Saccharomyces cerevisiae S288C: one gene and its partners. Changing the gene in region 1 together with any one later gene gives a genetic interaction. Each region holds a gene or a part of one and is shown in the gene's direction. Other genes may lie near its edges. The genes, in order: PET494, REG2, PRM15 and ACF2.

Region 1 (5,818 bases):
GCTAAGTTATACCAATTACCACAGTCAACTTCAGAAATATCTAGAATAGCAAGAAAGGGGTCTGGTTCAGCTTGTAGATCGTTGTTTGGCGGATACGTGGCCTGGGAAATGGGAAAAGCTGAAGATGGTCATGATTCCATGGCAGTACAAATCGCAGACAGCTCTGACTGGCCTCAGATGAAAGCTTGTGTCCTAGTTGTCAGCGATATTAAAAAGGATGTGAGTTCCACTCAGGGTATGCAATTGACCGTGGCAACCTCCGAACTATTTAAAGAAAGAATTGAACATGTCGTACCAAAGAGATTTGAAGTCATGCGTAAAGCCATTGTTGAAAAAGATTTCGCCACCTTTGCAAAGGAAACAATGATGGATTCCAACTCTTTCCATGCCACATGTTTGGACTCTTTCCCTCCAATATTCTACATGAATGACACTTCCAAGCGTATCATCAGTTGGTGCCACACCATTAATCAGTTTTACGGAGAAACAATCGTTGCATACACGTTTGATGCAGGTCCAAATGCTGTGTTGTACTACTTAGCTGAAAATGAGTCGAAACTCTTTGCATTTATCTATAAATTGTTTGGCTCTGTTCCTGGATGGGACAAGAAATTTACTACTGAGCAGCTTGAGGCTTTCAACCATCAATTTGAATCATCTAACTTTACTGCACGTGAATTGGATCTTGAGTTGCAAAAGGATGTTGCCAGAGTGATTTTAACTCAAGTCGGTTCAGGCCCACAAGAAACAAACGAATCTTTGATTGACGCAAAGACTGGTCTACCAAAGGAATAAGATCAATTCGATATGTAACATTTTTCTTTTCTTTTCTTTTCCTTTTTTTACAATAGCTAATTTACGTTTCCCTACGGTATTGGTCGGAACGACCAAGCTTCAATTTATAAATATCTTAATTTTAACAGCAGTTACCACTTGAATGAGAAACTTTTTGATGCCTACTCTTTTGCTTTTTCATATCATGACCTCCCTACATGCTTCGGAATTTCCTTATTCGTAGCTGTCTAACAGCACCACTTAGCACAAGTACGTCCACCCGTTTCATACTTAAAGATCTCAGCAGCCACCCAATCTACATTTAGGGTACCTGTCACATATCTTCTCAAATTTTAGGTTAGCTTTCAATTGTAAAGTCTCTTTTTGGATATTGCACGTTTCAAGTCAAAACGCGGCTGTAACATAATTTTCTGAAACAATATTAAAACATAGTAATGACTTAAAACAAGCGACTATCGCAAATAAGCAGTTCCCAGCAAGCAATTAAAACGTATATAAGCGCAGAATAATGATCTATCATCAATAATTATCGTGAACTTTTCCAGTATTTACGTTCATCTTTGAAAAACGGCGAGCATTAACAATAAAAGCTAAAAAAACCAAAAAATTTCAGATGACATTATCTTTCGCTCATTTTACCTACCTGTTCACAATATTGTTGGGATTAACTAATATTGCCTTGGCATCTGATCCAGAAACGATTCTAGTGACGATAACCAAGACAAACGATGCAAATGGGGTTGTTACAACTACAGTTTCACCCGCGCTAGTCTCCACATCCACTATCGTTCAAGCTGGCACTACGACATTGTATACGACTTGGTGTCCATTGACGGTATCCACTTCATCTGCTGCCGAAATAAGTCCTTCAATATCGTACGCTACTACCCTATCCAGATTTAGTACTTTGACATTATCTACAGAAGTCTGCTCCCATGAGGCATGTCCTTCGTCATCGACGTTGCCAACCACCACCTTATCTGTGACTTCCAAGTTCACTTCATATATTTGCCCTACTTGTCACACAACCGCTATCAGCTCATTATCCGAAGTAGGAACTACAACCGTGGTATCATCCAGCGCCATTGAACCATCAAGTGCCTCTATAATCTCACCTGTCACCTCTACACTTTCGAGTACAACATCGTCCAATCCAACTACTACCTCCCTAAGTTCGACATCTACATCTCCAAGCTCTACATCTACATCTCCAAGCTCTACATCTACCTCATCAAGTTCGACATCTACCTCATCAAGTTCGACATCTACCTCATCAAGTTCGACATCTACATCTCCAAGTTCGACATCCACATCTTCAAGTTTGACATCCACATCTTCAAGTTCTACATCTACATCCCAAAGTTCTACATCTACCTCATCAAGTTCGACATCTACATCTCCAAGCTCTACATCTACCTCATCAAGTTCAACATCTACATCTCCAAGTTCTAAATCTACTTCTGCAAGCTCCACTTCCACTTCTTCATATTCAACATCTACATCCCCAAGTTTGACTTCTTCATCTCCAACTTTGGCTTCCACTTCTCCAAGTTCAACATCTATTAGCTCTACTTTTACTGATTCAACTTCATCCCTTGGCTCCTCTATAGCATCTTCATCAACGTCTGTGTCATTATACAGCCCATCCACACCTGTTTACTCCGTCCCTTCGACTTCGTCAAATGTTGCAACTCCTTCTATGACTTCTTCAACTGTTGAAACAACTGTTAGTTCACAAAGTTCGTCTGAATATATCACCAAATCCTCAATTTCTACTACTATCCCATCATTTTCCATGTCTACATATTTCACCACTGTTAGTGGAGTCACTACAATGTATACGACATGGTGTCCTTATAGCTCTGAATCTGAGACTAGCACATTAACCAGTATGCATGAAACGGTTACAACAGACGCTACAGTCTGCACTCACGAGTCTTGCATGCCCTCGCAGACAACAAGTTTGATTACATCTTCTATAAAAATGTCCACTAAAAACGTCGCAACTTCTGTAAGCACCTCAACGGTTGAATCCTCATATGCATGCTCCACATGTGCTGAAACGTCACACTCGTATTCTTCCGTGCAAACAGCTTCATCAAGTTCTGTAACACAGCAGACCACATCCACAAAGAGTTGGGTAAGTTCAATGACAACTTCGGATGAAGATTTCAATAAGCACGCTACCGGTAAGTATCATGTAACATCTTCAGGTACCTCAACCATTTCGACTAGTGTAAGTGAAGCCACGAGTACATCAAGCATTGACTCAGAATCTCAAGAACAATCATCACACTTATTATCGACATCGGTCCTTTCATCCTCCTCCTTGTCTGCTACATTATCCTCTGACAGTACTATTTTGCTATTCAGTTCTGTATCATCACTAAGTGTCGAACAGTCACCAGTTACCACACTTCAAATTTCTTCAACATCAGAGATTTTACAACCCACTTCTTCCACAGCTATTGCTACAATATCTGCCTCTACATCATCACTTTCCGCAACATCTATCTCTACACCATCTACCTCTGTGGAATCGACTATTGAATCTTCATCATTGACTCCGACGGTATCTTCTATTTTCCTCTCATCATCATCTGCTCCCTCTTCTCTACAAACATCTGTTACCACTACAGAAGTTTCCACTACTTCAATCTCCATACAATACCAAACTTCATCAATGGTAACAATTAGCCAATATATGGGCAGTGGATCGCAAACGCGTTTGCCATTAGGAAAGTTGGTCTTCGCCATCATGGCAGTTGCTTGCAATGTAATTTTCAGTTAATATCAGAACAATTTAATTCATTTATATAAACATATACAATCAATCGAATAAAAATACAACAATGTAATGAAAACGCTCTCTATTGATATGTATTTGCTGACGCTTATAAATTTATTAAAGTTTTATTTTAAACCGTTCTAGTGACTTCACGCGGGGAGATACATCCAATAGTAAATTACAAAATAAGGAAAGTATAAAACAAACGGATAACAACAGTAGCTTGGAGACAGCAAAGGCACCCGAGCAGGCGTGGAAACACACGATGCATTTGAAAAAGGGGAAGAGGAGTATTAGCACAGTATGGCGACTTTTATGGAAGCGTTTTTATTCCGTAAACTCTAAGACGAATATGCATTTTTCTCGAAGTAGGAAGAAACCAGTGACAAACTTCACAAGGACAAACGGACTTCTCCTGAGCTGTAATGGTGATACATTCCCATATCTGCGTACACTGTGGAGATACTTCAATGCGCCTGGTAATTTGATGTTTGTCACAACTAATATTGTCGCATTTATGGGCATTGTTACGTATAATACGCTGGTTACTATCAGCAGTGAAAGAGCATTCGAAGAGCAGATGATGGCGGCACAGGTGAGCCTGGCGAAACAGAGAGAAGAGCTCGAGACTACGGCCCTCAGCTTGCCACGAGATATTGAATTGAGGGGTGAAGAAGATGATATTAAATGGGAGCAACCTGATGTAGCACATGTCCGGGAAGATCCCTTAGTCGAGGAGCAGAACGCAAAGTTAGACACCCCTATAAAACAGTATACTTTAGGAGATTTGATTTTGAATAAGAGGGAAAATGTCACTGATTATGACTCGCAGCGTGCGAAGGCATCTATATTCCACATGCTATATGCTTATATGCTGTATCGAGATGTTATTCAACCCACGACCATGACTCAAAATAACAACAGCGAGGAATGGCGGCGTGAAGTCGAGCTTTTGACTAAGGGAAAAGAGGTACAAGGTACTCATCGAAGGATAGACGTGTTCTACGACCTGTGGAATAAAAATTTCGATAAGATAGTGACATCACCTGAGAAAGTGCAGAATTTTCAACTGCCGAACTGGTCTAAATACCCAACGATATTGAAATTCATCTGCACAGAACTTCACGACAACAGTTTGAAGACCTTGGGTGAGTTTAAGCAATTCTATGGAAAGGTGCGATCTAACGAGGTAAAAAAACTGTTGGGTCTTTGGCTGTACGACCATTCCTTCCTTTTCCCCCATAATATCTACGACAACAGAACCGAAGAAGATTTTTACGATATATTAATTAATGACTCCATGCAGGATAACAGGATATTCCAGAAATACTCTTCAATTGTAATGAATCCCTACAACGAACGTACTCAACTTTTTTTCCCTAATGTAAATTCTCCATCTGTCAACAAGCCAGTACCGAGCATATCTCTGGAAACATACACACGACTACTCAAGGGATATATCAACTTGCAAGAAACAGGCTGCAAATACGACTATAATGACAATATATTCAAACTAATCAGCATCCTCAAACTAAATTGTTTCCTACAACGCAACAAGAAGAAACACGCAGGGCCAACCGTCAGAATCCTACTGCCGAGAGATGAAGACCGCTCTCAAATACTTGGTACCATTTCGCAGGCAGAGAAGAGAACCTGTTATCAAATTCTAAGCAAAAATAGGGACGTGGTTGCGCTGCTGAAACGCATTTCTGATATCCAGGCGGACTCTTCTTAATAAAACATGTAAATATGTACCTCCCAAATCACACTCATCATCTCATACGAAACTGTATCTTTTTGGGTAAAATTTTCATCGATGAGCTTTAAAAGCAAAACTACTTCACCAGCAATGAAGCTACTGTAGCATCCTATGATCTCTTCGGCTCTACACATCATATTACTAGCCTAGTCAACATGAAGTTCTTAACCACCAACTTCCTAAAGTGCTCCGTTAAAGCCTGTGACACCAGCAACGACAACTTCCCCCTACAGTACGACGGCAGCAAATGCCAATTGGTACAGGATGAATCTATCGAGTTCAATCCAGAATTCCTTCTGAACATAGTCGACCGCGTAGACTGGCCTGCAGTGCTCACGGTTGCTGCCGAATTGGGAAACAACGCCTTACCTCCTACCAAACCATCCTTCCCATCTTCGATCCAGGAGCTCACCGATGACGACATGGCCATCCTTAATGACTTGCATACTTTACTGCTACAGACGTCCATTGCCGAA
Region 2 (7,581 bases), on another chromosome or scaffold:
CGGAAGTGGTACCAAAATCGGTAGGTTGTTTTCAATTTACCCTTTTTTTCCATTCCCTCATTTAGAACCCATAGCGAGGTCGAAATATCCCTTAGCCATTGGTGTGATGTCTATAGTTATTTCCCTCAGTCAACCCAAAGCAAGATTTACATTGTGTTAACGTATGCCGTGATATGAACAAACACACCGGCCTACATAGCTAAGTTAATCAAAGAAGGTGTAGATAAACTAGGTTACATAACTGCCTATTGGCAAGCTTTCTTGCTATCTTAACAGCAAAGCTCTTAAGTCGTGATCTTCTCTTCTGATTCTCTTCCGATGGCATATAGATTTGAAGACGACAAGGAAAGCTAAGCAACTTCCTAGTTTTCGTCTAAAAAAACCGAAGGTTTTTCCGGTGATTTTCGGAAACATGCAGAAGAGTCCTTAGAAATCTTAGGTAAATTCACTCGGCATGTCTGCTAAAGATCGGTCTAGGCCATGCGCGTAAAACGGGAAAGGGTTCGCTCAATGGCAGATGCTGCCATACGAGGACACAACCAAGATGAGGCCTCCCAAAGCGGTACTCGCGTTAAGAAAGAAGGGCTTTGGAGGCAACCGGGTAGGGTGTCTTCTTTGTAAAGTTTGTCTAATGTTGGAGAATGGTTGCCACCCGGGGAAGAAAACTGCTCAGGGCGGATAACAGGAAAATAACATGTTGCGTGCACTTGTTTCCGTTGAAGGGAGATGGAAAGACTACTTAAAACAAAGTAAAGAAAAACATCTCAAAAATATTGAGAGAAAATGTGGTCCAGGAACCAAAGATGGTATACTATTTTGCTTTAGTTTATTTTTGCCTTCTTGTTTAATTATTACTCAATTGGTATATGTAATTGAGTAAATATACAAATTGTAGCTTGTGTTTTTGTTTTTCACAAATGACATCGGTATGTATTTTTCAACATATCTTCGCCATTTCTGTGAGCTATTCCGAACACCGCTTGAAACGATTTGTATTTTGCACAATCGTCATCGAAGTTCAAAAGTCAATTGCTTTTCCTAATAGAGTTAAAAGTCGGTCTACGAAAGTAAAATGTATACTCAGTAAGAGCGGTCTTTGTCTACAGTTCTCCAAAGTGGTAGTTATATCGGGAATGGGTAAATGCATTACACAACAACAAGGAGTTCTAAAAGAGTAACTGTGAACGCCAAAGGAAAAGATATAAAAAAAGTATGTCCCTTTTTAATACCTTTTTCGTTAAGCCGCTACAGCTACCTCTTGACTAACTGAGAAGCTGAATGGATAAGGAACAAAATCGTACGTAAATTTTCTCATCCATTTTACTTGGTCAACAGATTCTATAATTGTAAAGCTGTAGCTTGCACTTGATTTTGTTCCTAGAAATGCATTCAAAATTATTTAATGGTCGCCAAGAACAGCTAGGTGAAAGTTTACCCGGTCGGGCTTTAAGGGGAAGCCAATGCTTATTCAAAGCATATGGACATATATGAAGATGTCCTGTAAGATTCTTAGATTAAGTTTATATGCATTGAGCAACTAGACACTTTTCGTAAAATGAGTAGTGTTGGCGATTTTGAAGAAATTATTTTGCATGATTTAAAACCTTATTATCACGTTCCCGGTGCCATACATAGTGAAGGAATAACCTTCGTTAAGGAAACCGGTACACTGTTGTGGGTTGATATTTTTAAAGGAGAGGTTCATAAAGTCGAAGACATAGAACAGCCTGAATCCAGTCATTCTTTTTTTTCCATTAGTAGAGCCAATTATGGCAAGAATGCGTCAATTGAGTACCCTCCCAATCCAGATGAATTAAAAGAATCCGTGGGCTGTATATTTCCAATACTTGATGGGGCTTCACAAAATGAAATCAAACAAGTATTATTTGGTAGTAAATTTGGCATAGGAAAATTGGATTTTAGCAAAAGTGAATGGGAATATGTCATTTTGTATTCCGAATGTCCTGAATTGAGTACAGACAGAGCATATAAGTTGAGATCTAATGATGGGAACGTTTCGCCAGATGGAAAATATATTTATGTGGGGCTAATGAGCGATTTTCCATTTGATTTGGAACCTATTGGGTGTTTGCTTCGTGTTGACCTATTAGCTCACAAGATAGAGCTTGTTTGGAATTGCTTGTTAATTCCTAACGCGATCCACTGGGATGAAAGTGATCAAAAGACGATGTACGTGACTGATTCTTTAAACTTCACTATTTGGAAATGTCCTGGTGGCGACTTGCTAAAACGTGACGAGTTAATTGACGTGAAGAACTCCAACAATCAATCTTTTGAGTCTCCTGAACCAGATGGAAGTGCAATTTGGTTTAGCAAAGACGGAAAACATTCTGGGTTTCTGTTTATCACTGTCTGGTCCACCAGTAAGGTTCAAATGTTCGATTTAACTAACGGAAAATTGCTGAAGGAGTTCATTTTGCCGGAGCAGACACCAAGAGTTTCATGTTGTTGTTTTGTTGGTAAAGATCTCTTCGTGACCACTGCCAATGCAGAAATCAACGATGCTGTAAGAACCAATACTGACAAGAATGGTGGCTGCATCTACAAAATTCCAAACGTGCTAGACGGAAATGTTCCTCTGGAATCTACAAAGCGACAACCTCTCCACTAGGTGTATATACATATGTTTATATATATGCAGCATACGTATCCAGCGCATGTAACTAGCGTCATATGACACCGCTTATGGGCAAATTGAAGCGAAGCTCCCAAACTTGTCCTTATACATCGAATAATAGCCGTTCCATTTTGGTTGCCTAGTTATAAGGAGGGAACACCTAAGGGGCGGACAATCAAAAATACATAAAAGAGCGGAAAAGAAAAGAAATAAAAAGAAACCACATTTTATATCACACTTTTCTCGAGAAACATCGAACATCAAGACCTCCAGCATACTACTCACTATTATAAGCACATACTACGCCACATAGATAATGCCGAAAGTCGCTATTTTGATTTATTCAGTGGACGATATAATTGCCACATTAGCAGAAAATGAAAAAAAAGGTATAGAGATAGCTGGTGGTGAGGCTGAGATTTTCCAAGTGCCAGACGTCAGCTATAAAACTGAATATGCGACAGAAGAGGGAAAAGAGGCAGCCAAAGTCGCCAAAACTAATGCAGATTTTTCCTATAAAATCCTAACAAGAGAAACGTTGGTTGAGTACGATTACTACTTATTCGGAATACCTACTAAGTTTGGAAACTTCCCCGCGGAGTGGAAAAGCTTTTGGGACTCGAATACTGGTGGGCTTTGGGCAAAGGGTTCTCTCCATGGCAAAATTGCCGGTTTGTTTGTTTCAGGCGCAATAAGCGGCAAGGGTGATACAGAAATGTGTATCATGAACGCAATGAGTACTCTGGTCCATCATGGTGTCATTTATGTCCCATTGGGGTATAAGAACGCATACAAGGAATTGACCGACGTTGAAGATGTGAACGGGTCTTGCGCCTGGGGCGCAGGATGTGTTTCTGGAATCGACGGTGGCAGACCTCCCAGTTTATCCGAGCTAAGAGTTCACCAACTTCAAGGGAAGGCCTTTTACGACCGTATCAAAGATTTGTAAAACCGTATATATCTTTACATAAGTACGATATGGTATAACTGTAACATTGAAGGACTGAAGGACTGAAGGACTGAAGGACTATAGTCAAGGGCCAATGGGGAAGGTCCCTTCCAGGCCATTTGCCCGATAGTTTGTCCTTCTCTTGCTTTTCCGACGGCCCGATTGCATGTGGCGGGGCAGCACTGGATAAAAAAACGTGGGGGGAGTGATTAAATTTATACGCTTATTGTGTCAACACGGAAACCTTATAGTTATCATTACTAACATCGCAACAAGCTGCTTTTTTACTCGTTTTTAGCCACACCATACCCCCTTTAATTAACTAATAATGCATAAAATAGTTATTGCTTCTTGAGTTGCAGCTTCTTCCTGGACGTACTGTTATATATGGCATGTCTTCGCATGTCCGTCAAATTTAGCGTTGTCTCGAAACTTAGGCTGTCGTTCTTGCTGTCTGTCTTCTGATAAAATAATATATTGGAATAAGAAAAAAAAAATAGGAACAAGAAAGTGTGTGAGAATGACTTTGAGTAATTGCGACTCTTTGGATAACTTATTCCAGGACCCTCCAGAGGAAGAAGAAAGTAGTAAATTCGTTGAGGCGGTCAGAACTTTGATGAATAGAAACGATATGGGATATCCTCCCGCCGCTGCAAATGGTACGTATTGCTTAAAAAAAATCAAGTCTTTGAATGCCAAACAGTGGAAAATAAACAAGAAAAGAATGTGCATGTTGCCAGCAGTAAAGAAGAAAAATTTCGACTTTCACGAGCAAAGAAGTTTAATCTTGAATTTAAATTTATGGAAATTCATCAAGTTTATCAATTGTAGTAGTAAAAACAATTACAATAAAAATAATAAGCATGTGAGAAGCTCGAACAACACTGTAAAAAATGAAAATGTTTTACCGTTACAAAAACACAAGAAAGTGGACAATGATCAAAGATTGGAGAACCTTTTTTGGAGAAGCTGGTTTAAGGCACGCAAAAGGAGAGATATAATGGGCAAGCCACGAGAGAGGCATATCAAATTTAACGATAACGTTGAACAGTGTATTATAACTGATGAGCATTTCATACAAAGGCTTCCTTCTACACGGTTGAATTCGACTGATGAACAGCGCCCTTGTTCAAAGTCTGAACTAGATCCCTGTATTGGCAACGCAGCAAGTAAGCGAAGTTTCTATGATTATAACAGCGTTTACGTCGCGAGTGACGCAATTATTACGACTGCCGCTGCCACTGCCATTATCAGTAGTAATAGTGGAGACTATCAGCGTGGGCACGATGTTCGCGATGTTCCAAGAAATGTTTTGTTACAGGCAGGAGAAACAGATTTCAGTAGTGTGCTTCGGGTTGACTCCGATCTCAAGTTATCCAACATAAGTCATCATTCCCCCGTAAAACCTTCGTCAACTTCAAGTCATTCGACCTTCATTTTCGAGTCGGAAACTGACACTGATACTGATACTGACGCTGAAACAGAAAATGACATTGACGCTTACATAGACACCAGTATACCCAACCTGCTCCTATAAATTTTACGTAAACTTTCAATACATTGAAATTGTGTCTCATTTTCTTCTAGAAGCTCCTCGGAAAAATTGATCACGTGATATATAGCAACAACTTTGTTACCCGTCTTTCAAATTGGGCCCATGCCGGGTGGCAAACCAAAGGCGGCCAAGGGACCTACCCTCACAAAGGACAACGACAAACAAATGGCAGCTTTCTTGACCACACAAGATAAAACAACAAAACTCAGGCTGTTATTACCCTGCTGTGGACCCAACCTAAAGTAAATAAATAAACATCATCACAAGCAAGGTTATCTACACACTATCGTTATTAGTTTGAACTCACGTGTTGCTGCTGAATTAGAATATTTATAGCTCAATCAATATGCCTTCAGGTCATAACGATAAAAACGCAAATCAAGAGTCTGTGGAAGAGGCTGTTTTGAAATATGTCGGTGTAGGTCTAGATCACCAGAACCATGACCCTCAATTGCATACGAAGGATCTGGAAAACAAACACTCGAAAAAGCAGAATATTGTGGAAAGTAGTAGTGATGTTGATGTTAATAACAATGATGACAGTAATAGAAACGAGGATAATAATGATGATTCTGAAAATATTAGCGCATTGAATGCGAACGAATCATCTTCGAATGTGGATCATGCCAACTCCAATGAACAACATAACGCAGTTATGGATTGGTATTTAAGGCAAACAGCGCATAATCAACAAGACGACGAAGATGACGAAAACAATAATAACACTGACAACGGCAATGACAGTAATAATCACTTTTCTCAATCTGACATAGTCGTGGATGACGACGACGACAAGAATAAGAAAGATGCGGGTGTTGGTGTGGACGATGATCATCAATCTATGGCGATGGCCGCCGTCGCTGCTGCTTACACTCTATCGAAAAATAACAATAATAATAACAGTATTGCGAACGATAGCAATTCGCGTAAAAGACAGCATGATAACGGAAATAATCATGAGAATTCACAGAAAAAGCGGAAAAACAATAATGATGACGATGACAGACAAATTGGAAACGTAGATCCGGAATTAACCACCTTGGGTGATGCAGATGACAACGATACTAATAATGATGTGATTGATCGTGATCAACTGGTCCATAAGGCCATTATCGACGCTGATTCGATTACCCAACATCCTGATTTCCAGCAATACTTGAATACTGCGGCTGATACTGACGATAACGAAAAATTAAAGCATATTAAAGATCATTTGATGCGTACACACGGTTTGAATCATCAGAACAAGAATCACAATGATGATACAGATGATTTATCAAATAGTACAAAGCAATACTCTGAACTGCAGAAAGACTCTATGCTGGATAGTTCCCTCAACAAATCTAGAAATTATATGGAAGTCTTGCCCAAAGTTATCTCTCAAGATACTCAACCACACCAACAAAAATCTCCCTCTCATGATAATGAAGCTGGCAGCGTGGACAATTCAGAAATATCTCAACTACTTCAATCAGCCGCCACAAAGGCATCATCTTTGGTATCTTTATCCTCATCCTCAGCAACGCCATCGACTTCAAGGTCTAACAATAGCAAAGCTTTTGATAAAGCCGAAGACGCCGCTTTAGAAAGATTTATTAACGAGTATGAGGCCATTGAACGTTTGACTAGACAACAAGTTTGTGAAAGGATATGGAGTTCCGACAGGCCAAAGGACAACTTTTGGAATAATATTTACAAAGTCTTACCCTATAGATCTAGCTCCTCTATCTACAAACACATGAGAAGAAAATATCACATTTTTGAACAACGTGGTAAATGGACCGCGGAGGAGGAACAAGAGCTAGCTAAATTATGTGCAGAAAAAGAAGGTCAATGGGCAGAAATAGGTAAAACTTTAGGCAGAATGCCAGAAGATTGTAGGGATCGTTGGAGAAACTACGTAAAATGTGGTACCAATAGAGCATCAAATAGATGGTCCGTTGAAGAAGAAGAGCTTCTGAAAAAGGTTATCAGCGATATGTTGGAAGAAGCCCAGCAACAACAGTCTCAATTGCATCCAAACTTATTGGAAGAAGAACAGCATTTACTGCAAGATGACCAGAATGATCATCGCAATAACGATGAAGACGATGATGATACAGCTTCTGCAGCAGCAGCTGCTGCTGCTGCTATTCAAGAACAACAACAACTTCTTCAACAAAAGCAGCAAGATGATGACGATGCTATTGCCGCTGCTGCCGCTGCTGCTTCTTCATCCCTGGGAGACAACAAAGACGAAGACAAACCCCACGATTCATTAGGTATACAGCTCGATGATAATTCCCAGAACTCAATGGTACCTGCTCCATCAGCAACAAGCACACATTCTAAAAGTTTGTCAAATACAATCAGACGTCACAATAATAAACTGAGGAAATCTTTGATGGGTAACGGTAAGTTAGATTTCAAAGACATCATTAACTGGACCATTGTCAGTGA
Region 3 (8,232 bases), on another chromosome or scaffold:
AAAGGCCATGTAACCATGACATCGTGTATGGCGGGCTATGTACTCAATGCGGGAAAGAAGTTTCTGCAGATGCCTTCGATGGTGTACCACTAGACGTTGTCGGGGACGTGGATTTACAGATTAGCGAGACAGAAGCCATTAGAACAGGCAAGGCATTGAAGGAGCATTTGCGACGGGATAAGAAACTTATCTTAGTGGTGGATTTAGATCAAACCATCATCCATTGTGGCGTGGACCCTACGATTGCAGAGTGGAAGAACGACCCCAATAATCCGAATTTTGAAACATTAAGAGACGTCAAGAGCTTTACGTTGGATGAGGAGTTAGTACTCCCACTTATGTACATGAATGACGATGGTTCTATGCTGAGACCGCCTCCCGTAAGAAAATGTTGGTACTACGTGAAGGTAAGGCCCGGTTTAAAGGAATTTTTCGCTAAAGTGGCGCCTCTTTTTGAAATGCATATCTACACAATGGCTACAAGGGCTTATGCCTTGCAAATTGCCAAAATCGTGGACCCTACGGGCGAATTGTTTGGCGATAGAATTCTGTCGCGTGATGAAAATGGGTCTCTAACAACTAAATCATTAGCTAAACTTTTCCCCACTGACCAGTCAATGGTTGTAGTTATTGACGACAGAGGTGATGTTTGGAATTGGTGTCCAAACTTGATCAAAGTTGTTCCTTATAACTTCTTCGTTGGTGTAGGTGACATTAATTCTAATTTCTTGCCCAAACAATCTACAGGAATGCTACAACTAGGGAGGAAGACAAGACAGAAGAGCCAAGAATCTCAGGAACTGCTGACGGATATTATGGATAACGAAAAAAAACTACAAGAAAAGATAGATAAAGAAGTTAAACGCCAAGAAGAAAAATTGAACCATCAACTGGCGACTGCTGAGGAGCCTCCTGCGAACGAATCCAAAGAAGAGTTGACCAAGAAACTAGAATATTCAGCATCTTTAGAAGTCCAACAACAAAATCGACCCTTGGCCAAACTACAAAAACACCTGCATGATCAAAAACTACTAGTTGATGACGATGATGAACTATACTACTTAATGGGTACGCTATCAAACATTCACAAAACTTATTATGATATGCTCTCACAACAAAATGAGCCAGAACCAAATCTGATGGAAATCATACCAAGTTTGAAGCAAAAAGTCTTCCAAAATTGCTATTTTGTTTTTTCAGGATTAATACCCCTCGGGACCGATATTCAAAGGTCGGACATAGTGATATGGACGAGTACATTTGGTGCCACTTCCACTCCAGATATAGATTACCTGACGACACATTTAATCACCAAGAACCCTAGCACTTATAAAGCGCGTCTAGCGAAAAAGTTCAACCCACAGATTAAAATTGTTCACCCAGATTGGATATTTGAGTGTTTGGTAAATTGGAAAAAGGTGGATGAAAAACCCTACACGTTAATCGTGGACAGCCCCATCTCCGACGAGGAATTACAAAACTTTCAAACACAATTACAAAAAAGACAAGAATATCTGGAGGAGACCCAGGAACAACAGCATATGTTGACATCACAAGAAAATCTAAATTTATTCGCTGCTGGTACTTCATGGTTAAACAATGACGACGATGAAGATATTCCGGACACAGCTAGCGACGACGACGAAGATGACGACCACGACGACGAAAGTGATGACGAAAACAACTCGGAAGGCATTGACAGAAAGAGGAGCATCGAGGACAATCATGATGATACATCACAAAAGAAGACCAAGGCGGAACCTTCTCAAGATGGTCCTGTACAACATAAAGGAGAAGGGGATGACAACGAAGACAGCGATTCGCAGTTGGAGGAAGAGTTGATGGATATGCTGGATGATTAGCAGCTCAGATGCCGTATCTTTCCACACATTTTCCTCATTGGTCTTTGTACCTATAATTGTTCATATTATATATACGTTTGTAACAAATCGATAAATAGCAACAATATTTTTGCTTATTTTGATATCCTGAAATCCTTTTTTTTTTTTTTTTTTTTTTTTTTTTTTTTTTGATTTCATTTCGTTTTTTTTTTTTGAACATTATATATTGTATTGTTTTCTCCCTGTAGCGAGAACTAATTGATTCTTTCTCCTTTCCCCCTAAATACTCAACAGTACTCTCGAGCCATTAGCTGCTGCAATTTCAAAAAATGTTGCAAGGAATTTTAGAAACCGTACCATCTGACTTGAAAGATCCGATATCATTATGGTTTAAGCAAGACCGCAACCCAAAAACTATAGAAGAGGTCACCGCTCTCTGCAAAAAATCCGACTGGAATGAGTTACACAAAAGATTTGATTCTAGAATTCAGTTTGGCACTGCTGGTTTAAGATCGCAAATGCAAGCTGGCTTTAGCAGGATGAATACTTTAGTAGTCATACAAGCGTCTCAGGGATTGGCAACTTATGTAAGACAACAGTTTCCAGACAATTTGGTAGCTGTTGTGGGACACGATCATAGATTCCATTCTAAGGAGTTCGCTAGAGCTACTGCTGCTGCATTTCTTTTAAAAGGATTTAAGGTACATTATTTGAATCCTGACCACGAATTTGTTCATACCCCTTTAGTTCCCTTTGCAGTGGATAAGCTAAAGGCCTCCGTTGGCGTAATGATAACAGCAAGTCACAACCCAAAAATGGATAATGGATATAAAGTATACTATTCCAATGGATGCCAAATCATTCCACCTCACGATCATGCCATCTCTGATTCCATTGACGCAAATTTAGAACCATGGGCCAATGTGTGGGATTTCGACGATGTTCTAAATAAGGCTCTCAAACAAGGGAAATTGATGTATTCCAGAGAAGAAATGCTGAAGTTATATTTAGAGGAGGTTTCTAAAAATCTGGTAGAAATCAACCCATTAAAGCTTGAAGTAAAAGCCAAACCTTGGTTCGTTTACACTCCAATGCATGGGGTTGGATTTGACATTTTCAGCACCATCGTAAAAAAAACACTGTGCCTGGTAGAAGGTAAGGATTACCTATGTGTTCCTGAACAACAAAATCCAGATCCTTCTTTCCCAACTGTTGGATTTCCTAACCCTGAAGAAAAAGGTGCTTTAGACATTGGTATAAACTTGGCTGAAAAACATGACATTGACTTACTTGTTGCCAACGACCCTGACGCTGATAGATTCTCTGTTGCTGTTAAAGATATGCAGTCAGGCGAATGGCGACAACTAACAGGTAACGAAATCGGTTTTCTTTTTGCATTTTATGAATATCAGAAATATAAAAGTATGGACAAAGAATTTCAGCACGTTCATCCGTTGGCTATGTTAAATTCAACAGTGTCTTCACAAATGATAAAAAAAATGGCAGAAATAGAAGGGTTCCATTATGAGGATACATTAACAGGATTTAAGTGGATCGGAAATCGTGCCATACTCTTGGAAAAGAAAGGCTATTACGTTCCTTTTGGATTCGAGGAAGCAATAGGCTACATGTTTCCAGCAATGGAGCATGATAAGGATGGTATCAGTGCATCCATTGTCTTCTTGCAAGCCTACTGTAAGTGGAAAATAGACCACAATTTGGACCCGCTAAATGTCTTAGAAAATGGCTTCAAAAAATATGGCGTGTTCAAAGAGTACAATGGCTATTATGTCGTTCCAAATCCAACTGTTACAAAAGATATATTTGACTACATCAGGAATGTCTACACTCCTGAGGGCGCGTCATATCCTTCATCTATTGGTGAAGAAATCGAAGTACTTTACTATCGAGATTTAACCACTGGTTACCAATCGGATACCATAAATCATAAACCTACTCTACCCGTCGATCCTACATCACAAATGATAACAGTATCTGCTAGACCAAGTAACGGTAGTGAGAATGAGCATATCCGCTTCACTATTCGCGGGTCCGGAACAGAACCAAAACTTAAAGTATATATTGAAGCTTGCGCAAATGAAGAACAAAGAGCCTCTTTCTTGGCGAAATTGACTTGGAATGTGCTGAGACGTGAATGGTTTAGACCAGATGAAATGAATATAGTTACAAAATTTTGATACTATTTTAACCTATACATTAAGACCAAGCGACTTAAAGAATGCCATTATATTTGTTGTTTGTACCTACACTTATATCAATATACATTTAACTAGTTTATGCCTCCAAACTTCTATCTTCAGATTTTCTGTGTCGATTCCAAAGGTTTTCAAGCATGTAAGTCACACTAATCACAACACCAAGAGAAGCGAGCCCAACTCCCAGATATACAGCTGCTCGGTAACCTTTCAACAAATCATTGCCGCTTTTATTAATTTGGTGTTCAACAGTGCCTCCCATACCTAAACATAGAGACGCTGAATAATTAATAACGGTGTTTACTAATGATCCAGCCATACCTTGATACTGCATTGGAAGCCCGTCACTCAATATAATGGATGATGCCGGGAAGGACAGGTCCATACCAAAACATAAGATAGCCTGCATCGCAAAGTTCAACTTCCAATAGCTTTGTTCCACTGGCAATACACTAAACATTATGGAACCAGCGTCAAATGCCATTAGTGAAAAACATAGTAGTAGAGCTGGTCCTAATCTCTTGATAGAAAAGGCAACGAAGAATGCAGCCATGGATCCGAAAATTACGAAAACGAAATACGTACCTCCGGTCCAAACAGGACTGTAATGCCTCAAATTTAGTTGGAAGGAAACATAATAGAATGTCCAAATACCAAACGACCCCCATCCCAGGAATACCGCCAATAATATCATAATCATATGACGGTTCTTCGTCATTGCACGTGGTAGAAGAGGAACCTCTGCGTATTTACTTTCGTAAACAAAAAAAGCAACCAAGAATATCACAGATATTATCAAAAGAACAATGATATAAGGTTTGTCCCAGCCAACTATTGGTGCTTGATTCCAGACAAAGTTGAAAAGAATCAGCCCGATAATGGCAAGCGCGGACCCAGTCCAATCCATCGAAAGCCCATGAATATTTGTGGGAACGTTGTTTGGGATGGAGTACCATGCCATTAATAAACTTAGAAACGTTGCAATACCAAAGGCATAAAATACCCAAGGCCACTGATTGGGGTCTTCAGTGACAATTAACCCCCCGAATAATCCACCAAACATGCCGCCTGTTGGAGCACATGCGCCGATGAAACTAATAACAATGTTCTTCCTGAATGAACCGACCTTATAAACATGACCAACAAGCCCCATAATATTTGGTAAAATAAACGCAATTCCAACTCCTTGGAACGCACGGCTCGTAATGAAAAACGCGTCGCTATTAGAGTATTTGGAGAGACCAGAAATTATAGACCAAACGATTACGATGACATAACCAACGATCAACATTTTCTTCAATCCATAAATATCTCCTAACCTCCCACTAATAAGGATGAACGACCCAGCAGCCAAGGGAAAAGATGCCATCAACCATGCCTGATTGTTTGCTTCTGAATTAAAGGATTTCGAAAGAACGTTCATTATACAGAGAGCGTGTGTTTGGCCCGCTTGATTCAATAACTGTGCCAACATGCATGTCGCTATGAACATTAATTCTTTCCCAAAGGAACTGAAGTAAGTGGGGTCCTGCCATGGTGAGTCATTGGTCACTTGAGTTGATTTGGTTGAAGAAACAATTGTTGTCACCTCTTCATCTTCTGTGGAAACCACTACTTTATCTTTTGCTTTCACTGTAATTTTCTCATCTATCTCAGAGTCCGTGCCCTGCACGCTCGTTTTCTTTTTGAAGATTGAAAACATTTCCAATCAGATCTTTGAGTTGTATGTTTGGTGTGCTTAGATTGGTTTCCAGAACTAGCCATGGTTAAAAGATCTATTTCCATTGCCTTATATACCTATTTTTGTCCAAGCCAAATGTCTCTGAGTATTTCCTCGAAAAACTGATATGAAAGAAAATTTAGTTCGTAACCATGGCAATACTATAGCATAATCTTCGTCATGCCATTGTTATCTCATAAATAAAACTCCTATAACAAAGCAAAAAAAGTTTACGCGTTCTACGGACATTTGTGTAGGAAAAATAAAGATTTTACTTAATCAATATACGAGCCACGTTTTTGGCGTCGCATTGTCGGCGCTATTTATGCGCACCCCTGTTGCCTTCTCTTCCCTTCCGTGCAGCCTCCGCGCTGTCAGATGGTCCTCCGGTAACGTAACCATGGGAACTAGCAAAAAAATTTCCTAATCTGAAATGTAGTTCCATTAATAAATCTGAGGAACATGGGCGCTGCATCAAGATGTGTTTTGGCGTCGTCTTTGTTATCTTTTCTTTTTTCCAACAATAAATTTGGCTGTTCATAAGGTGAACGAAAGCTACGGCAATTGCCCTATTAAGAAATTATACGTAAGAATGTTATTTGTTTCATGAATATTTAGAGGATTCCGTTTTGAATATATTACACTATGAAATAAAGAATTATTTGGCGTTTTGCCATTGGAATAAATCAGATACATTATCTGTGTTGGAACTTCCGCCACCAGAACTTTTTGATCGATCTGTATTGTAACGATTTTTCTGAGGCCGTCTTGGACCACGGTGGGACGCCGAGGGCCCTGAAGAGGTCCTTCTCATTTGAAACAGTGTAGAAGGTGTATCCAACTGGTTGCCAGTTGCACTCTTTGAGTTCTCTTGAGAACTACTGTCACCTTTTGAATCATTGCCCGATGAAAGAGATCTTTGATTGCTGGTATTTCTCGTACTTACGGAGGATACCATCCCTTGACTTAAAATTGAGTCGGTAGGATTCAATACTTCTCTGGCATTCATGCGTGACCGATCCAAGTCATCGTTAAATGTCGTATCTAGGATGATGCTGTTTTTACTTCGATTTGACGTAGTAGACGTCGTGTTGGTATTTGAGATATCGGGCGTATCCACTAATAAAGGAGCCAACCCAAGTGATGCATCTACAATGTAATCATAGTCGACCCCAGAATAATTGACATTTGTCATGAAATTGTTAAAATTACCTAAATCGTTGAAATCACAGTTGTCCATTCCATGCTTTGTACTTCCAAGGATACTGCCTTGGCTGGTATTACTGCCAGTTGAAGGTGGTTTGAAGTTGGCACCTGCATTTGTAACGGCTTTTTTATTTGTTCCCGGATCCGCTGACGCGGAGTTCTGATCATTTTGGTATAAAAAGTTGTTAATACTAATATTCGAGAAAGAATTATCGTTGTTCAGCAATCTCATTAGCTTTGTTAGGCTGTAGTTACTCTTGTTGTTGAAAGAGAGATTATTCTTTTCCATATTCGTACTTTTTCCTTTCTGATGAAATTGGTTGTTTTTTGAATTCTCAGGGTTTTGCTTAATAACGGGTTCTAATTGTTCCGGTTTAGAGTCCATATTATCCTTCATTAGATCTAAATTACTTGGTAGACTGAATATCGCATCCATGTGCATAGGCTTATTCTCAATCGTGTTTTGACCTATATTGGAGTTACCGGTCTGTAAGAATGGTGCCATATTTAAAAAGCTTAAGTTCTCTATATTGGCATCCGTGGCATCTGTAGAAGCTCTGTTACACACATCCACGTTGCCATTATTAGTATTCGTACAATTCGGTCCTTCAGGATGGGTGAACAGCGCAGTAAGGTCTGTATTACTAAACGAAAATGGAAACAGATTGCTGGTGGACATGTTTTTTTTGGTATCATTCTGGAAATTATGTGCGTTCTCCCCCTTGGATATACCGCCATCTTTTGCATTTCGTTTTGCATCTTTTTCATACTTTAATCTCTTATTACCATTAGTTGTATTTGTCATTGGAGAGTGACCCGCTTCAGAATTATTGTTATTATTACTATCGTTTCCATAAAGATACTCGTGTTCTGGGTTTTCTCTTTTGACATTAGGTGTTCTTTGTCTATTTTCCAGGCTGTTCTTCGATTGAGAGCCAAATAATGGTTTTAAGGATGTGGTTGTGGCCGGTGGTAACCCCATCAATCTATTGTAGTAATTCAATTTCTTTTCCAAGAATTTATCCAGTCTTTCAACCTTAACATTAGGTGCTTTCAACAACAGGTTGATGCTCATGTCAAACAGTTTCAGCGTGTGCCAAGAGGCAATTCCAGGTAAATCCAAAAGCCTATCGTTTTCGATATCTTTGATGGTGTCGAGGAGAAGATTTTTATTATCTAAGAATAACGCACCACCTTTGGTATATTCCAAAGAACCTCTAGCACAGAGCAAAGAAAATCTGATTAACGT
Region 4 (8,586 bases), on another chromosome or scaffold:
GAGATTAATGATAAAAGTTTTCCGGGCCAGGCCTTTACTATGACCGTGGACTCAATACTTTATGAAGCCCGCAGTGAATTTCAGGACATCTTAATCTTCCGTAACAAGGTATACGGTACTGTTTTGGTCCTCGATGGTATTGTCCAATGTACGGAATTTGATGAGTTTGCCTATCAAGAGATGATCACCCACATTGCCATGTTTGCGCATTCTAATCCCAAGCGTGTACTTATCATTGGCGGTGGGGACGGAGGTGTCTTAAGGGAAGTAGCCAAGCACAGCTGTGTAGAAGATATCACTATGGTAGAAATTGACTCATCAGTGATCGAATTATCCCGTAAGTTCTTGCCCACATTGAGTAATGGTGCTTTCGATGACGAAAGGTTGGACTTGAAACTTTGCGATGGCTTCAAGTTCTTACAAGATATAGGTGCTTCCGACGTCCATAAGAAATTTGACGTCATTATTACAGATAGTTCTGATCCTGAAGGTCCAGCTGAAGCGTTTTTTCAAGAGAGGTATTTCGAACTATTGAAAGATGCTTTAAATCCTAATGGCGTTGTTATTATGCAAAGCTCTGAAAATTTTTGGTTAAATTTAAAATACTTACATGATTTGAAAAATACAGCCAAAAAGGTATTTCCTAATACAGAATATTGCTATACCATGGTTCCAACCTATACATCTGGCCAATTAGGTTTAATTGTTTGCAGTAATAACGCCAATATACCGTTGAACATTCCGCAAAGAAAGATATCTGAGCAAGAACAAGGGAAGCTGAAGTACTATAATCCTCAAATACATTCTAGTGCGTTTGTTTTGCCTACTTGGGCAGACAAGGTCATTAATGAATGATTTATTAGCATTGATATTATTATTTTAAAAAGTCTATTTACTTGTATATTTATCCGAATATGCCATCAATGGCTGATTTGTTCTTCTTTTTCCTTTTCTTTTTCTTCTTACAGTTCTCTGTCAGAGGCTTTGGTATAGACGTTATCACTAGTTCGTTTTCTTGAACGTTGTTGCCAATATCTTCATCTATAATTTCTCCAAGTTCTTCGACATCGTTCACAACCGATTTTGCTTTTGTTCTCGGTAAGTTCTTTATTAAGCATCCACATCTTATAAACTCAGTTTCATTAATCTCCCATAATCTCATATACAGTGCCCTCACATTTGCCAGCAATGTTACTAGTGTACAACCCAACGTTACAAATTGTCCCAGCGCAATTACGCCATTGAACTGCCAGTACCATCTCTTTAACTGTCTAAAAAGTGCTCTCTGTAATAGCCTGTGCAACTTGACCCATTCAACATCTTTAAGGCGTTTGGCTTGTAATCTTCTCGAGCTAAAAAGCGTTATTATTTGTCCACAATTTCTTTTCATCTCATTGAACGATCCATACCAGCTAGCCGCTCTATGTTGATTTTTGTTCCTATGGTTCAAGAGCAATATTAACCGATATTCTTGCTCCAGAGATCGTATCACATTATCCATCTCATCCATTTTGTTTCTGCTCTTTTTTTTTTTGTGGATATATCATTCTAGTACTCATTTCTTTGAAGTTTTTTTCTTGGAACCATAAATAAAATTCATGAATTTCTGAAAAGTGCTAGTATCATAAAAACAAAAATAAATAAATACGAGAAGTAAAAAGATGTGTTACAGTAGGCAAGCCATTCCTCCACCTGTTCCTAATAGACCTGGCGGTACTACCAATAGAGGACCTCCTCCCTTACCACCTCGCGCAAATGTTCAGCCACCAGTTTGTTCTTCTGAGAACTCCAGTAAACCTCGAGAAAATAGGGTGGCAGGTGAATCACTGCGCACACCAAGCAGTTCTAACCCTTTAGCTGACAGCCAGGTGAATAGTGACAATATTTTTCAATCACCTGTCCTTTCTAACTTAAAAGCTCCTCCTTCCGTCTTCAACAAAGTTCAACACCCGGTACCAAAGCCGAATATTGATGATCAATCTGTTGATCCATTGGAGACAAACAAGTTCTACACAAACATGTTATTAGACGATAATACACAACCTATATGGACACATCCTTATTCAATTTGGTTTTCTCGTGATCCAGAATTGTTTGGTTTGGCCGCCAATCATACTTTAGCGTCTCAAAGGGTTTTTGATACAACTACAAATCCTCCCAGATTCTACTTCAATCCCACAAATATAAAATCATTTGTATTCAAGGCCAGGGAATTTGTCTCTTCAAATGATATCAAGCTTGAATTCCGGGATATGAAACATATGTCCATGTGCTTACTAATGTCTTTGAGTAGTTCCCAGTTTATAGAATTCCCGCTGGTTCAGGGGATGGGCTTTGTCACGGCTATTTACCACGATTTGGGTTTTGAATTAAGAAGCGCCGTTGGTTTCAGGAGCTTAGAGCGCATAAGCGTGAATGAAAGATATGGTAAATATAATATACAACTTGAGAATAATAGGAATTGGATACTTTATTTGACCTCACCTGATTACTCTTTTCCACAAGATTTTCAAATTTCATTACTCGACAGCAATACAATAATATCATCTCATAAAATCAATGGTCTTATCTGTCAATTATCTGCAGACTCCGTCCCCAGTATTGACATGGCAGCGGGCTGTTATCCAGTATACTGTGACCTATCAGGGCAAACTGTTGATGAACATTTCACAAATTACAGATTTAACTATACGGTTGCAGGCTACTCGCAGTCTGGAACTACTCTAATGTATGCTTTACCACATCATAAAGCGGCATTCACACCAGAAATGCAGGAACGTGAAATTGCCTCAAGCCTGGATTCCACAGTTAAAGGCTTAATGACTGGTTATCTCACAAACAGTTTTGATATGCAGGTTCAAGTACCTCAAGAATTGGGCTTTGAACCTGTCGCGTTATCTTTGAATAAGAAGGCAGATTACAGTCAAGAAAAGCTATCTAAAATTCGGGAAGCTGCTGTTCAAGAAGTTCAATTGAGTGACCCTCAACAAGAATCAAACATAGATTCTATGTATTTCTCTGGTAAGATACTTGCAAAGTATGCGTGGATTCTTTATGTGACACATTACATCCTTCATGATGAAAATTTAACAAAAGAATTATTATCTAAACTGACTATTGCAATGGAGAGATTCATCAGCAATCAGCAAGTCTTACCTTTAAATTACGACGTTAGTTGGAAAGGCATAATTTCATCAGGCTCTTCTAGCCAAGACTTTGGTAACTCTTATTATAATGATCATCATTTTCATTACTCTTATCATGTCATAACGGCTGCCATTATCTCTTTAGTCGATTCTGATTTAAGTGGAGTTACTAACAACTCCTGGTTAGAAAATAATAGAGATTGGGTTGAGTGCTTAATTAGAGATTACTCTGGTGTTGACAACGATGATCCGTACTTCCCTCAATTTAGGTCATTTGATTGGTTTAATGGCCATTCATGGGCCAAAGGACTATTTCCAAGTGGTGACGGTAAAGATGAAGAATCTACTTCAGAAGATGTCAATTCTTGCTATGCGATAAAATTGTGGGGGTTGGTAACTGGAAATTCTAAGTTAACTGACATAGCGAACTTACAACTCGGCATCATGAGAAATGTTTTCCAGAGCTACTTCCTATACGAAAGCAATAATACTGTCCAACCGAAAGAATTTATTGGTAATAAAGTTAGTGGTATTTTATTCGAAAATAAAATTGATCACGCCACGTATTTTGGCATGGAGCCTCAATACATTCATATGATTCACGCCATTCCTATAACATCAGCATCTTCATGGGTCAGAACACCAAATTTTGTCAAAGAGGAGTGGGAAGAAAAAATGCAGCCGATAATTGATCAAGTGAATGACGGTTGGAAAGGAATAATCATGTTAAATATGGCTCTGCTTGATCCAAAATTTTCGTACGACTTTTTCAGCCAACCTGATTTCAACAGAAATTTCCTAGACAATGGGCAAAGCTTAACTTGGTCTTTAGCTTATTCAGGTGCTTTTTCTTAGGGGTCAGAAATATATACAGTGTTAGTAGCATGGTACAAGTGTTACGATAAGGTATTTTATAGAATGATCATTTTTTTATATGAATATTGGTTCCTAAACCATCATCAATAATCAAATTATTACAGAACACACCTTAATTGTGCGGCGTATTCTAAATTTTACGTGTTCACAATATGGTGTTGTTCCTATGATTTGCTAACATATTTGGGATCTGTCTATCATTTACACCGCCAGGAGCGTGGACAGCGTATATCTATTAAGTTTATAAAATATAAGGCCTACATTTGGAGTTAGGAACGAATATGCAACCCAAAGCGGTGTTCTTTACCACGGTAATCAAAAAGTTTCTCCACCGGATAGTATCCAATGTGATGGTGGAAAGTGATGATTTCTTTGGGATTATAATAGAGGGTAATCTGGGCTGATTTTGGGGTTTTTTCCAAGATAAGTTCTAACTCCTCTCTACTATCTACAAATCCCGTAATAAAGTTTCTATTATATCCAAACGCACTAACTGTAGTGTTATGAAAACCTTCAATATTCAAATTCAATTTCTGGAATACGGTTGAAACATCATCATTCTCTTCCCTTTCTTTCTTGTCGGAATCATTATCGTCCACTATTAATCTCTTACAAGTAACACCACCAAATTCTGCAACAGCGCCTCTAGGTAATTCAGAAATCTTTACAAGAACTAGGCATTTTTCAACATCATCAGATTTGTCCATCCATAGATCTGATCTATGATTCATATTTGAACAATAAAACGCCCATGTTTTGATGACAGAGTCGAGAACCGATTCGTCTGAAATATAGCATGTCATGAGTAACTTTTCTTGAGCTCCTATTGTTTCACACAAAGTATCAAAATGTTGTAATGCCAAAACTATTTGGTCAGTGAGAGGTGTTCCTAATATTTCCATTGACTGCGGTACTAGTCCGATTTGCCCACTGATAAAACTGACTTGGTTTGCATCATCGTTTAACCAAGTACTTTGGGAATATGGTCCGATATTACATGGAGCCCAATATGAACGGCCTTGAACATGTAGTCCGCCCTTATTCTTGTTGATTTTTTCTTTGCCTGTATTTTTTACATCAACAACAACTGATAACTGTACGTGACAATCTTCTGGCAAGCACTTCGAACCTACGCATGCTCTTGATGGTGGCAAAGGTCCGTATTTTGACAAATCTAAAAATTCATTGTATATTTTGTTGATTTTTCCGAAATTAGACATATCTCTAATTAATAATGACGCAGATAAAATATGATTCCGTGGAATCTGGTTGGAATGCAGAATGTCGGCTAGCTCAGTAAAAATATCTTCACTTTGCTTCTCGACCGTCTCACTTTTACGTGATTGTAGGTTAGAGATGTACAACTTATCATTGGTTTTATTGATTGTCGTTTGTGGTAGAGCATTCGACATGTGATTTTCAAATCTTTGTTCTCCTGTTTTAGCTTGTTGCTTTGGCAAATTTTGGGTTAAATCTTGCCAATTATTACCAAAAATCGAAGGTACAGGTAATTGATCTAATTGGTTGAGTAAAAAACTTTTGCTCAAATTACGCGGTTGAAATTTTACCTTTAACCTTGCATTGTGAACTTCACCATCGCTACATTTGACAATATCAATTAATTCCAAGTATCCATGTTGGAAAAAAGGGGCATCCAAGACCATTGTCTCAAACTCCCCACCCTCTCCACAGATATGAACTTGATAAAGTTGGTTAAGTTTCTGTAACACCGGTTGCATCATAGGCAAGGACATTCCTAAATGTTTCTCGTTCAATCCAATTGCTGCCACCTTGATTATCCTGGCGTCAAATTTATTTCCTGAATTAGTATCGTTTTCAACATTGTTAACATCCTTGGACATAAGGCACATTTCACCCATTAGTTCGGCTTGATCCCTTTGCCATAAATAGCTTAGCACTACTAGACCCAATCTGGAACAAACATTTTCCACTCTGGTCCTCTGGTAAGACGATAAGATGGCACCTACACTAACAGCTTCTAAATCTGGAATTTTATCTTTGACAGTTCTTAGAAGTTCAAATAGTTCTTCAATTTCATCATCCTGAGTAGCAGTATAATTCAACTCGACGTTGTTAGAAGTGTTCCGTAATATTGAGCGTCTAAATAGTGGAACACCAATACATTTAGAATAATAGTCTATTAAGTCATGTCCTACTGTTTGGAACATGAAAGAGTCTAATTCTTGCTCTTCTGATTCTTTTGGGTATATATTTCCCAGGGCAATCAATTCATGGTTGTTCTTCAGGCAGTGAAAAATATTGTAGAACGAGTCCTTCCCACCTGATATTAATGCTATAAACTTCATGATACTGACTTATTGGGCTTTGAATTTTGATATAGCTTTATCAAAGATTTCCGTTTGAACTAGCTATTCATCATCCATCAGATATAAGTGAAAAAAAGCTTCTTTAATAGAAGCTTAAAAAAATTCTCCGCGACGGGGAATTGAACCCCGATCTGGCACGCGACAAGCGCCCATTCTGACCATTAAACTATCACGGATAAGAAACACTGGAAAACTATGTATCCCAAAATCCCATACGTTGGTTTACTAACACTACTAGATGTATTATTCATAGGTACCCCAAAATCCTTACAAAGAGACAAGGCTGAGTGTATCAAGCAAAACCGCTTTAAATCTGATGTTCTGCGCTTTCTCCCTTTGATTAGATTCAGGTCTTATGTAGTTTATAGAAGATGAGTACCTTTCTTGTGCATAAGAGTTGATAATAAGCCTGACGACGACAAGCCACTTTCCTACCGATTTAGGATTGGCAAAACATCTGGTACTATTCGAACCCATAATCAATAGGAAGAAAGCTTTACCAACAGATTGTTATTTAAGTGGTTCAAGTATATTAACTCTTGATATCCGTGCGTTTACTTTACTATTAGTGTTATTATCATTACTTATATATAATATGTATAACTAGAACATCAGAATTATGTATGCATACTTTTTTTTTTTTTTGGTTTTTTGGTTTGTCTTTGAAATTGGAGTATATATTATAGTCCTCTCATAGGCCTACTCTTTTTGGAATCGACTTTGCTATGGCCTTGATTAATGGCCAGCCATTATCAGATCTCACAGCATCCCCGTTTTCTTGCAATCTTCTCAAAAGATAATCTTTAGTTTCCAATGGTGGGCCCCATGGGACATACTTGATTATGTTTTTAGCGCCATGGTTGGTAATTAGGTCATAGGTAACATTATCTGCCATACCTAGTAATTGCCCCAACACAATGTTCGATTTGGCATAAGAGTTGTCTTGGGTAGATTTTAGCAAATTAGTAACGAGCATTTGGGATTGGTAATTATGAGAGGCGACAACCAAGTGACCAAAATAAGAATCCTCGCCATTGATGATTAAATCATTGACAACTTGAGTGATGATACGATCGTAATTTTCGTCAGTGCCCGTTTTATCGCCAAAGATAATTTGGTTACGGTTTTTTTCAGAATGAATATAAGCACCACGAACCAGTTTCAGCCCAAGCTTATAGCCGTTTTCTTGGGCCAGCTTCAATTCGTGCAAAATATGGTCACCAGAGTCCCTTAGGTACAACTGCCAAGTACCGACACATGATATCAGTTTAGATGAAGTGGGATTGAATTTTTGAAATAAGATTCTCTGTAATTCGTAAACACCATTCTCCTGCAAATCATACTTCTCAGCGTCAATAGTGGAAACCATAAATGGGGCCTTTCTTTCAGGGTACTTCTTTAACAAAGATTGATTTAGTTCAAAAATCTCTTTTGTAATCTTAGAGCAGTTCTCGATCAGCTGATCCCTTTGAGCCTTGTAGGCGGGATTACTGAAATTGTACAGAACCTCGTGAGGGTTATCGACCAAAGCAGAGGGTTTTAGAGCGATATAACCTGGAGCAATGTCATTGATTGGCTTAGATTCCAGCTGGCCAATAATATTGGGCAGTAGGATGTTGTGGACAGAGCTGATTGTTTCCTTGACAATTTGGTCTACTGGAGTACTGGACAAACTCTTTGTACCTTCGGAATTTTCAATAGTTAATGAAAGCATCATGTTCGATATACCTCTCTTCTGCAGACGTTTGCCGCATTCGATGACCTCTTTAAAGTTCTCACCGCCACAGTATAAAGAAGAGACGAAGAATTTTATTACTGGGATGGGGATGTAAGGGAACAACTTAATGATCGTGTTCAGGAAGAAGCTGTTCAAGGTCGCAATACCGATGAATCCCAGTTGGAATAGTTCCTTCTTGGGAAGTGTCTGTAGAAAATTGATTGAGTTAGGAGGTGCCATCACACTATTGCCGTTGGCATTGGCGGCCGGAGTTTCAACCATCAGATTAGCAGCCGTGTTAGAGTGTGTCGGAGTCTTTGACACATAGGACCTCTTTATCAAAGGAAAGCATAGAGAGGGTATGCGCGATTTAGTAACTAATAAGGAGCTTTTGGAAGCTATCATTTCTAGCGTGCGTTAGTGTTATTACTATGTAGCGATGTTTATGATATATAAAAGACAAAAGAGAAGAGCTGCTACGGACTTGTGGAGTTTGTGT

Evidence for each region.
Region 2: mutations in PET494 (region 1) and REG2 together harm fitness more than expected from each alone (negative genetic interaction), as found in Saccharomyces cerevisiae (one large-scale study listed by BioGRID).
Region 3: mutations in PET494 (region 1) and PRM15 together harm fitness more than expected from each alone (negative genetic interaction), as found in Saccharomyces cerevisiae (one large-scale study listed by BioGRID).
Region 4: mutations in PET494 (region 1) and ACF2 together harm fitness more than expected from each alone (negative genetic interaction), as found in Saccharomyces cerevisiae (one large-scale study listed by BioGRID).

The regions. Positions count from the first base shown.
Region 1 is NC_001146.8:702,291-708,108, forward strand, and holds PET494 (Pet494p), read left to right. Parts: upstream 1-3,848; coding exon 3,849-5,318; downstream 5,319-5,818. Other genes in the region: diphosphomevalonate decarboxylase MVD1, read left to right, coding at 1-795; AGA1 (Aga1p), read left to right, coding at 1,409-3,586; RNA methylation protein TRM112, read left to right, coding at 5,498-5,818. UniProt on the Saccharomyces cerevisiae protein: Required for the expression of the mitochondrial gene for cytochrome c oxidase subunit III (COX3).
Region 2 is NC_001134.8:334,726-342,306, reverse strand, and holds REG2 (protein phosphatase regulator REG2), read left to right. Parts: upstream 1-4,107; coding exon 4,108-5,124; downstream 5,125-7,581. Other genes in the region: YBR053C (regucalcin), read left to right, coding at 1,556-2,632; RFS1 (flavodoxin-like fold family protein), read left to right, coding at 2,955-3,587; DNA-binding protein REB1, read left to right, coding at 5,489-7,581. UniProt on the Saccharomyces cerevisiae protein: Regulatory subunit, binds to type-1 protein phosphatase. Functions with HEX2/REG1 and SNF1 protein kinase to regulate growth. Might regulate SNF1 directly or indirectly.
Region 3 is NC_001145.3:820,593-828,824, forward strand, and holds PRM15 (phosphoribomutase PRM15), read left to right. Parts: upstream 1-2,170; coding exon 2,171-4,039; downstream 4,040-8,232. Other genes in the region: FCP1 (protein serine/threonine phosphatase), read left to right, coding at 1-1,862; ATR2 (Atr2p), read right to left, coding at 4,137-5,759; DNA-binding transcription factor CAT8, read right to left, coding at 6,436-8,232. UniProt on the Saccharomyces cerevisiae protein: Major phosphoribomutase that converts ribose 1-phosphate to ribose 5-phosphate. Involved in ribose salvage via the pentose phosphate pathway.
Region 4 is NC_001144.5:425,092-433,677, reverse strand, and holds ACF2 (endo-1,3(4)-beta-glucanase), read left to right. Parts: upstream 1-1,661; coding exon 1,662-4,001; downstream 4,002-8,586. Other genes in the region: SPE4 (spermine synthase), read left to right, coding at 1-855; RMP1 (Rmp1p), read right to left, coding at 905-1,510; DPH6 (diphthine--ammonia ligase), read right to left, coding at 4,292-6,349; PUT1 (proline dehydrogenase), read right to left, coding at 7,062-8,492. UniProt on the Saccharomyces cerevisiae protein: Cleaves internal linkages in 1,3-beta-glucan.